Linked DNA regions of Daphnia pulex. The protein of the gene in region 2 purifies or fractionates together with the protein of the main gene of each other region. This does not show direct contact. Links are inferred from orthologs where the notes say so. Each region holds a gene or a part of one and is shown on either strand. Other genes may lie near its edges.

Evidence for each region. Proteins that work in one complex are often made in the same cells at the same time.
Region 1: the proteins of prefoldin subunit 4-like (region 2) and p53 and DNA damage-regulated protein 1-like purify together in Homo sapiens (co-immunoprecipitation; 3 studies listed by BioGRID and IntAct, counting the BioPlex papers as one, with this or other methods). This does not show direct contact. The link is inferred for Daphnia pulex from reciprocal best matches to the Homo sapiens genes PFDN4 and PDRG1.

What each region holds. Positions count from the first base shown.
Region 1 is NC_060023.1:8,880,396-8,883,557, reverse strand, and holds p53 and DNA damage-regulated protein 1-like, read right to left. Parts: upstream 1,958-3,162; coding exon 1,729-1,957; exon of another isoform or gene 1,666-1,728; coding exon 1,505-1,665; 3' UTR 1,484-1,504; downstream 1-1,483. Other genes in the region: intraflagellar transport protein 140 homolog, read left to right, coding at 1-181, 247-391, 457-633, 699-917, 998-1,483; hydroxyacylglutathione hydrolase, mitochondrial-like, read left to right, coding at 2,285-2,351, 2,426-2,538, 2,601-2,722, 2,789-3,015, 3,088-3,162. UniProt on the Homo sapiens protein: May play a role in chaperone-mediated protein folding.
Region 2 is NC_060022.1:3,650,414-3,656,179, reverse strand, and holds prefoldin subunit 4-like, read right to left. Parts: upstream 2,977-5,766; 5' UTR 2,863-2,976; coding exon 2,824-2,862; intron 2,742-2,823; coding exon 2,637-2,741; intron 2,472-2,636; coding exon 2,322-2,471; intron 2,271-2,321; coding exon 2,118-2,270; downstream 1-2,117. Other genes in the region: bromodomain-containing protein 4-like, read right to left, coding at 1-28. UniProt on the Homo sapiens protein: Binds specifically to cytosolic chaperonin (c-CPN) and transfers target proteins to it. Binds to nascent polypeptide chain and promotes folding in an environment in which there are many competing pathways for nonnative proteins.

The DNA.
Region 1 (3,162 bases), on a different chromosome or scaffold from region 2:
ACGAACTGGATGACCAGCTGTACCGATACGCCATGCTGGGCGAACAAGAAGAAATGATTGAAGCTGCACGTTATTTTGAAGGTTCATCGGCTAACAGCGATCGCCAACCGAGATTCGATCGAGCAGTCATGCTGTACAGTAAAGCTGGACTTCTTGATACTGCCCTCGATTTGGCTTCTAGGTAATATCTTGCATGAAATGTATAACAAGTGAATGTTTGGCTTATTTTTCTTGCGCCCTTCAAAGAACGGAACAGCATGAAGCTGTATTAGAATTAGCTCGACGTTTGGACAAAAACTCGAATCCTGCATCACTGCAACGTTGTGCTGATTATTTAGCAAGTCATCGCCATTATGATGCAGCTGTAGATTTGCTTGCCATGGCAGGAAAGGTAAGATTAGAATCTCGATATTTTCTACGTCTGAATCTAAGTCTGAAAGGGAATTTATTTTACAGAATTCCGATGCAGTTGACATGTGTTTGAAATACAATGTCACGTTGACAGAAGCGTTGGCCGATCAACTCGTAAATGGGGAAAATAACAGCCGATTGCTGACTCAACTGGCTGAAGTTGCTCAACGCCAGGGTGACTACCAGTTAGCGGCAAAGAAGTTTACTCAAGCAGGAGATAAAGTAATTGATCTTTGGTTTTTATTTTTTTGTTTGATTTCTTTAACTAATGGGAAATTTGTATCTAGTATCAAGCGATGAAAGCTCTCTTAAAATCAGGCGATACAGATCGAATTGTCTTCTTCGCAAACGTGTCTAGGCAGCCTGATATTTATATACTTGCTGGAAACTATTTACAAACCCTCGACTGGCGCTCCCACCCGGAATACGTCAAACACATTGTGACCTTCTACACGAAAGCTAGATCGCCCGATCTCCTTGTCGGCTTTTATGAAGCCTGTGCACAGGTTTGTAAATTAATTATTGGTTATTAACTTATTATTTATCTAAAAACTAAATAGATACGGCAATGTGTTCTTATTATTAGGCCGAGGTTGATGAATACCAAAGCTACGACAACGCAATGAACGCATTGAAAGAAGCGCACAAAATTATGTCCAAAACTCCTGAAAGTAGTCAATCAACAAGATCTAAAGCACTTTATATGAAAATGGCTTTTCTGGAGCAGTTCATTAACATCAGAAAAATGTCTGCCACAAACCTACAAGGAATTTCTCAGTTTGAAAGTATCTTACAATCATCTAGCATGGATTTAGGCATTTTGAAACCAGGAAATGTTTACTCTGCTATTTTCCAACTTTATGTTGATCACCAAATGCACAATGAAGCCCTCCAAACTTTGAATGGGATGAAAGCAACTGTTCCAAAGTTCATGAATTATTTGGATCCTGACATGGTGTCTCAATTATGCCTAATTCAAAATGTGTCATCAACATTATATCTCGAACAAGGTAACCAAAATGGAGAGGAAAACTCAGAGGATATAAGAGAAATTATTAATCACAGAAAATAATTTATTGATGATATTCAGACTTCACTTAGAAAGTGCTTGCATTATAATCTCAGCTTCTTTAGATATTGGTTTTAAATCAAACCCTTTCAGTTCTGGTTTCCCTTCAAGATCTCTCAAATGTTTCACTTGTTCTTTAAGCTTGTTGCGATGTTCAGATATCTCTTGATCAACCTCTTTTAACTCTGCAGGAGAAAGGCGACAATTTGAATTAATTTTGTTGAAATTTAAATGCTAATTTTAAATACCTCGTTCCAACAAGTTTTGCGCCTTGGACGTCCTTATTTTTACGAATATGTTTCCAATCGACACCCATGCCTTTTCACTAGGTTCCAAGCCATTTTTCAAAGCCCGAAAAGCTTCCCGTGTTTTTTGGCGCTTGAAATCCAATGCTACTATCTCGTCTCTGGTGATAAAAATCTCTTGGGCAGCAGCTTCAGTTTGAAGTATCAACTGTTGTGTCTTTTCGAAATCCATGGCACAATCTTTTTGTTTAGTTTGAAAGTTTGAAGAGATTGTTCTTGTTTGCTGTTGTATCGTCTGCTATTCATTTGCCCCATTGCCAAAATTGACGAACAAAATCAAAAGAACCAAATTTTGTATTGTTTCTCTGTCTTCAGTAATTTTGTTACCTTTTATTTTATTGTAACTGTTCTGCATGATATCTTGAATATTAGAGTTTGATTCAAAACTGATAATCATTAATCAATCAAGCGCAATTTCAGTGTTTAACGTGTTAACACTGTCTGTCGACTGCTCTGTGAGAAAGAGCTATCGGCAAGTGGCTCAAAAACAACAAAACAGATGAATACTCTAGTTCGTCTTCTACCTGAATCGTGTTTGCAAGCGTTAACTGCGGCATATTTTCGCTGTACGTCTACAGTTTTTATTTGAACATTATTTTGTCAACAAATTGAACATTTTCTTAAAAATTATTCTTTGTAGTTTCTGCTTGGAGAGCCCTTGGTTCAAGAAGTCACAGCCAGCTCAAAACTTGTATTGACTCAAAGATGAAAGTCCATATCATTCCAGCTTTGCAAGATAACTACATGTATTTGGTATGCAAACTTTTTGGATTCGGCTTATCACATGTAAAATACATTTCATACTTAAACTATAGTTGGTGGATGAGAGCTCAAATGAAGCTGCAATTGTAGACCCAGTAAACCCTAGCAAAGTGGTTGAAATTGTAAATCAGGAAAATGTGAAATTGACCACTGTTCTTACTACTCATCATCATTGGTTTGTTTTATCATTAGTATAGTAAATTTTTAATTTAAATGTTTGGGATTTTGTTTTTAATGACAGGGATCATGCAGGTGGCAATGAAGAATTAGTAAAACTTGTTCCTGGGCTTGCAGTATATGGTGGAGATAACCGTATTGGAGCGTTGAATAAGAAGGTTTCTCATGGAGATAAACTTCAGGTTGGAAACCTAGAAATTCAATGTCTATTTACACCATGCCACACTTCTGGGCATATTTGTTATTATTTGCCCTCAAGCAGTGTCAATGGACAATCAGCAGTATTCACTGGTGAGTAAAACTTTGAAAATATTCTAGTGGTTAAATGAGTAAATATTTTCAATATTGTTTCTTCAATATTAGGTGATACTCTCTTTCAAGGAGGATGTGGTAGGTTTTTCGAAGGAACGGCTGATCAAATGTATCATGCATTGATCA
Region 2 (5,766 bases):
CCTTCTCGGAGATCGTAGAGACGATCATTTGTGAAATGTTCAATTGTTTCTTTGTTAACGAAAAAAGAGAAAAATGGGAGAAAGAATGAAGAGCGGCTTGAAACTCCAGTTGCCTGGAAGTTTGTGAAGTGGCAGCCAACAACCAGCCGAGCTTAAATAGGTTGCCTCAGACGAGAAGGGAGGAGGCGAAAGGGGGGCGGAGCTAGAGTAGTATTAACTTTTCCCCTAAAAATGAGCCGGGTGAAAAAAAAAAGAAGAGGAAAGAAAATTAAATTTAAAAAGTGGAATAGAGAAAGAAGTAGCTCGTGTAAGAAGTGCCAATACGCGGTGAGAATGTAGAAATTCAAAAATGGAAAACCCATCTTCGCCGGATACTGTCCAGTTTCTCAATTTGTTGGTCCACCCCAAAAAGATAAAAAAAAAAACGTCCCGCCACTACGGGTGTTTTATTCCGCTCCAAAAAATATAGCCGAGGTGAACTGGTATTCAATTTTGCCATGCGCTCGTTTTTCCTCGATCGTTTCCCATTTCTTCCGCAACACAACTCGATGTCTTTTTGTTTTTTTCGCTCGAGTTCATCGAACCACCTGATGATCCGCGACCAGTGTACCATTCGAACCTTTTCCAACATGCGGTGATTCCGTTGAATATTTCCCCAAATTCGATACTTTGCCAATTATTTGTCGGGTTTTCCTTCTACAATAAAACTGTAAACAAAAATTTATTAAATAAAAAAAGAAAATACAAACAACCAAAAATACAAGTTTCGTTTTACTGGCAACACGTGTCCTTGTTTTTGTTTGAAGCCAACAACCGCTCGGACGTCGTACATGTAGGAGGCAAGTCATGGCCAGCACGTATCGGTGTCAAGCGTTGCCACCTTGTTATTTCTTTTTTTCAAGTCCTTTGACACACAAGAAACTTACACAACACCAATCATACTCCCTCTTGGAAAAATACCCAGCAGCCTCGATTGTGTGATGGAAATATAAATCGGCCAAGTGGTGTGCTATTTCTCTGAAATTAAAAACACTTCACTTACCCTTGGAGATGATGACAGAAAGATGAGAGATATGGTGTAGAGTATCCACACCTTTTCCTGTCTGTTGTGTACATCGCAGCTCGGAAAACAAAGCAATAAAGGCATCTGGGGGCTCTTCTTTTTTTTAACTCTAGAAGAAAGAAAGTGAACGCAAAAGTGCCATACGCATCGTCGTTCCCCCCCCCTCTTTTTGAAATAACGTGAAGGTACCCTAAAAGTTTCTCATGATTCCCAAGTTGAAAATAGCTTATAACAAAAACGTGTACCAACGAACCTTGGCCTAGTTACAAGTTTTTCCTTCTCATTCTTTTTTCTTCAATTGCTTTTAGAAGCAGAGGAATATTCCGTCCTGTCCTGTAGATTCATTCGTTTCTTTTGTTTGTTTGCTTAAAAACTTCGTGTCTACCATCTGCAGCCGGAGGGGGGACGATGCGGGTTTTCCTCTCGACCAGGGGAAAAGTGAGCGGCGGCACGGTCATGACGTGACAAGCTTCGCAAACCCACCGTCGAACGGATGTAATGAGCACAATAACGGGAAGGGAGGACTTTATGAACGTGCACGATCCGGATGATGAAAAACCGGCCATGTGATGGACAGCCGAGAAAACTAAGTCACTGGGTCAGTCAAGTGACAATTTCCGATTGGTATTCTTCTGAACCTATTGGGTAGTATCAACGATAGTCCTCTCTGCAGGTCGTGTCCAAATGAGGTTAACACGGACGAATACATAAGCAATAACAATCGATTATTTTACGAGGTCGTGGAGCTCGAGACTGAGAGAGAAAGGCTGGAAAACCGTCCGGTGAATGGCCTCTACGAAACTAAAGAGGTACCGAGTGGTAGCCAGATGCAGAGGCGTCGTTGCGGAGGTGCAAGTCAAGCGTTACATTTTCTTCGCAGATATTTTTAGTGTTAGGGAAACTAGCTAAAAATACTTTCTTTAGCTTTGTTGTTTACTTTTCTCTTTGTGGCTTGAGAGACAATTTGTTTCTGTCAGTGCTATCAAAGACTGTTTTTTTCTTTTTTGTATTGTTCTTCATTATTATAGTGGAGAAAGCATTTTGGACGTTTTCTTTATTCCTCTTCGGCTTCTAGGTTGATAGAATTACCGAATTTGGCGTACAATTGCGTCTTCAGATCGCTCATCAAAGTCTTGATGTTTGTGCATTCAGCTTCGATGGCTTCAATATCTTTTTTCACTTTGTCTTTTGCTTCTTCAAGTTTCTCCTGTGATAAGTCAAACAATTAGCGATAAGCAGTACTTTAACAGCGATGCACAATTGACAGAAGAGGAAAAAAGAAAATCACCTTTGCCTCTTCCATGTTGAAATGAACAAACACTTCACCTACAACGAAAGGAATTGGAGCTGATTCATCATCAACCAAGAGTAAATCATCTGAAGCATCCTCCAAGTTTTGAAGATCTCCCTGAACAAAGCATAGAGAAAACGAGTAGCAATGCAGAATTGTAAGTTTCAACGTGAATCATGAGCAGAATGCGAAAATATTTCTGCCAGCACATTTATGACACATAATAATTTTGAAGACTTCACACACATTACGAAAAGAAGCATGCAATAGAAAGAATTTCACCTTTTTATTTTTCAGATCATCCCTGAGCTCCTCCCATTTTGCATTGTGTCGTGCAAACCGGTTGATTTTCTGTTGGTCTTCCAATGTAATGTGAATGTCAGAGTCCTAAAATAATTTCAGTTACTTTAACTACTAGAAATTGGCAACACGTTAAGCTATAAATTCTTAAGTCAAATCATTTTCTTACCGATTCAAGAGAATCTTTAGAAACTGCTACTGAGGCCATGATGTTTTTCTTGACAACCCCTACGTAGCAGACGACGCCTATTTATCGATTATTTCAATCGATAATGATATGCTGGTTGCCATTATTCAAATTACTATTCTTTTTAGGATTTTTATTTTACTGGATTTAACAAGCAATTTCTTTATGGCACATTTCGTTTTTATTACTTCAATACTACGGCATTATTACTTCAAGAAAAATCGTCTTTATCCCAGGTGCATTGACCACTGGGAAAGTGAAAGGGCTATTATATTCCCTATTAAGTAAGGCCTACACGGCTTTCATAATTGTTAGCTTGCTCCATAAAATGTGTTTGTGTAAATTCACGCGCTTAAAGAGAAATTTTCTTCGGGTTTCTATCTTATTATTACGATACTTACTAGAAAATTATAATGAATCCTGATGGGTTCTCGGATTTTCGAAAAAGATGTCAAGCAAAAACATGTTGCAATGCTCATGAAGAAAGTCGTGCACGTGAAAGTAATATTATGGAAATCTGAAAAAAAAAATGTAATAAATAACGAAGATGTCTTCTATTTGTTTTTGAGAGCTTTTCTTTTTACAATAAAAGCAATATGAACACGTCTAAGTAAGCGGTTTTCTTTGTGGCGAACTTGCCATATTATATGCAGTTGCCCTGCAGATCGATAGCAAAACAAACAGAACGCAATAGAGACGAAATAGTTTCACATGTTTTAACCAATCATATCAATCTCCCCTTTGTGCGTCAGAGCCCGCAATAACTGAGAAGACGAGTTTTATCAACTTATGGAACAACAACTGTTTGATTATTAAATATTTCCTGGCGAATTCCATCACGCTATACGATTCACGAAAGCCACTTGAAATGTACGTTTTAGACAGAAGGCATCCGTCCTCCTGTTTCGCTTCATTCACATATCTCAACGTGTTTCTCTGTCGTTTTTTTATAGACCTTTATGTTCACCGAACAATCGACAACAGCTGCAGAGGTGGGTTTTGCGCGTTGACAAGTAATTTCCTCATCAAAGTGTCGTTTACACTCGGTTGTGCGGTAGCCTGTTATACCAGCGCACTTTACTTAATGCGGTCAAGCAACCCGAGCGTCCCTCTCATCCGTAAAAACAGCCGTGAATACCGAGTTGCTTAACCTAGTTAGCGTCAGTGCGCAGTACGTACAAAGAAGAAGAAAGCGTGATAAATGGTCTTGTTAAAGAGTAGGACGTATTGTGGGTTCGTGTTGATACATTAATACCTCATTTCGCCGCCATTAGATCCGCACATCATTTCTAAAACGTTTCTACTTTCTGTGAATTCATTTAAATGATGAACTTTAACTTGGCAAATGCGTAATAAGTTGGGTAATTTAAAGCTCTTTGAAAATGATGCATAACTTTATTTTTATCAAAGTTTTTCAAATAGAATAAATATAAAGAAAAGGCTTTTTATGGCTGGTATATGCCAGCAGTGAAATGGGAGAAAGCCGCGCGAGATCCTTTTTTTTGTTTATGGCGTAAATCTAAATGGAGAAAACAAGACTGGTCTGACAAGAAGGAATTGACAGGAGGAAGATTTAAAGTTTCCAAGCTGACTTAATAGGATCCCCGAATAAAAAGAGAAAAGATATAATTACGCACATACACTTGAAGATATTGTGATTATGCAAATGTACAAGAGTATATGCTTGCTAATTAATAACCAGCGATTTAAGCCAGATAACCGCCAGCGCCCGCCAGTGTCTACCAAATCTAAAAAAAAAAAAAAAAAAATTTGATTGACGTAGTCTGAAAGCACATTAGACTCTATTTGAGAAAAAAATTCAAATAAAGTAGAGCGCAACTTTCACGTGGGTCAGTGATCCCGAGGCCTGGAGCTCTGACGAAATCCCTCCCGAGTTGGTATATTATTCCAGTTCAATCGGATCATAGCTGGCATTTGACATTTCATTTTAATAAAGAAACGGCTAATAATCGAGCACATTTGTTTAAAAAATAAACAAACATTTGGCTAGAAAATCGGCACTGGGTCGATAATACTTCAAAGTAGAACAAGAGCTCATTGGCATGAACGTCATTACTGATGCCACGATAAATTTTCGGGCGGATCAGAAAGCCTAAATCCAGATAGACCCCAAAGACTATTATGTGTGTATACGTGATACTGATGGATTGATGGCGATGTTAACACTTGGAGGAAGCATATATAAATAATAATCAAAAATCTGTTTCGCCATGAAAGGGCTACATGTATCCCGTGTGTGGAGGGTTTGAATCCGCAAAAAAAAAAAAACATATAGACCAAAGTTTGAATAGGGCGAATCAACAAAAGGCACTGGCGTAATCTTGATGGTCGTTTCCTTCTCATTTTCACGCACTCACTCGTCGTCGGTTTGATGATGAATAAACAGACTCTGGTGCTCGACTGTCGCACATATCAAAAGAAGAGGGGGGGAAAGCGCAAAACAAGCTTTTGTTGAGCCTTATCAAAGTCGGTACCACTCTCTTCTGCTTCCTCTTCTTCTTCAACCAGCAGCAGTAGCAGCAGCATAGATTTTCCATTTTCTCCCGTTTCCTTCCTTCTTCTTTAGTTTGTTTTTCTTTGCCTTTCTCTCCCCCTTTCTTGGGTGAACAAGCTTCTCTTCCCTCCATCCCTTTGTCGTTCTTCCTCACCCGAGAGATTCGGGAACCGATCGAAGATCCTTCCCCCTCCCCCTCCCTACTGCTCCTTATATATACGCCGCTGAGCCAATCAATCCCGCTCATGTTATAGCCTAGCCGCCCCTTCTGCTAACGGCAGCAGAAGAAGATGGAGAGAGACGAAAGGAGGTGGATGGAGGGGGGGAAATGTATAGAGACATGGATAAACGTAAGGAGCCGTTCTCCTTATACACACAAGGAGCCGAAGAAGAAGAAAAAAACAAACAAT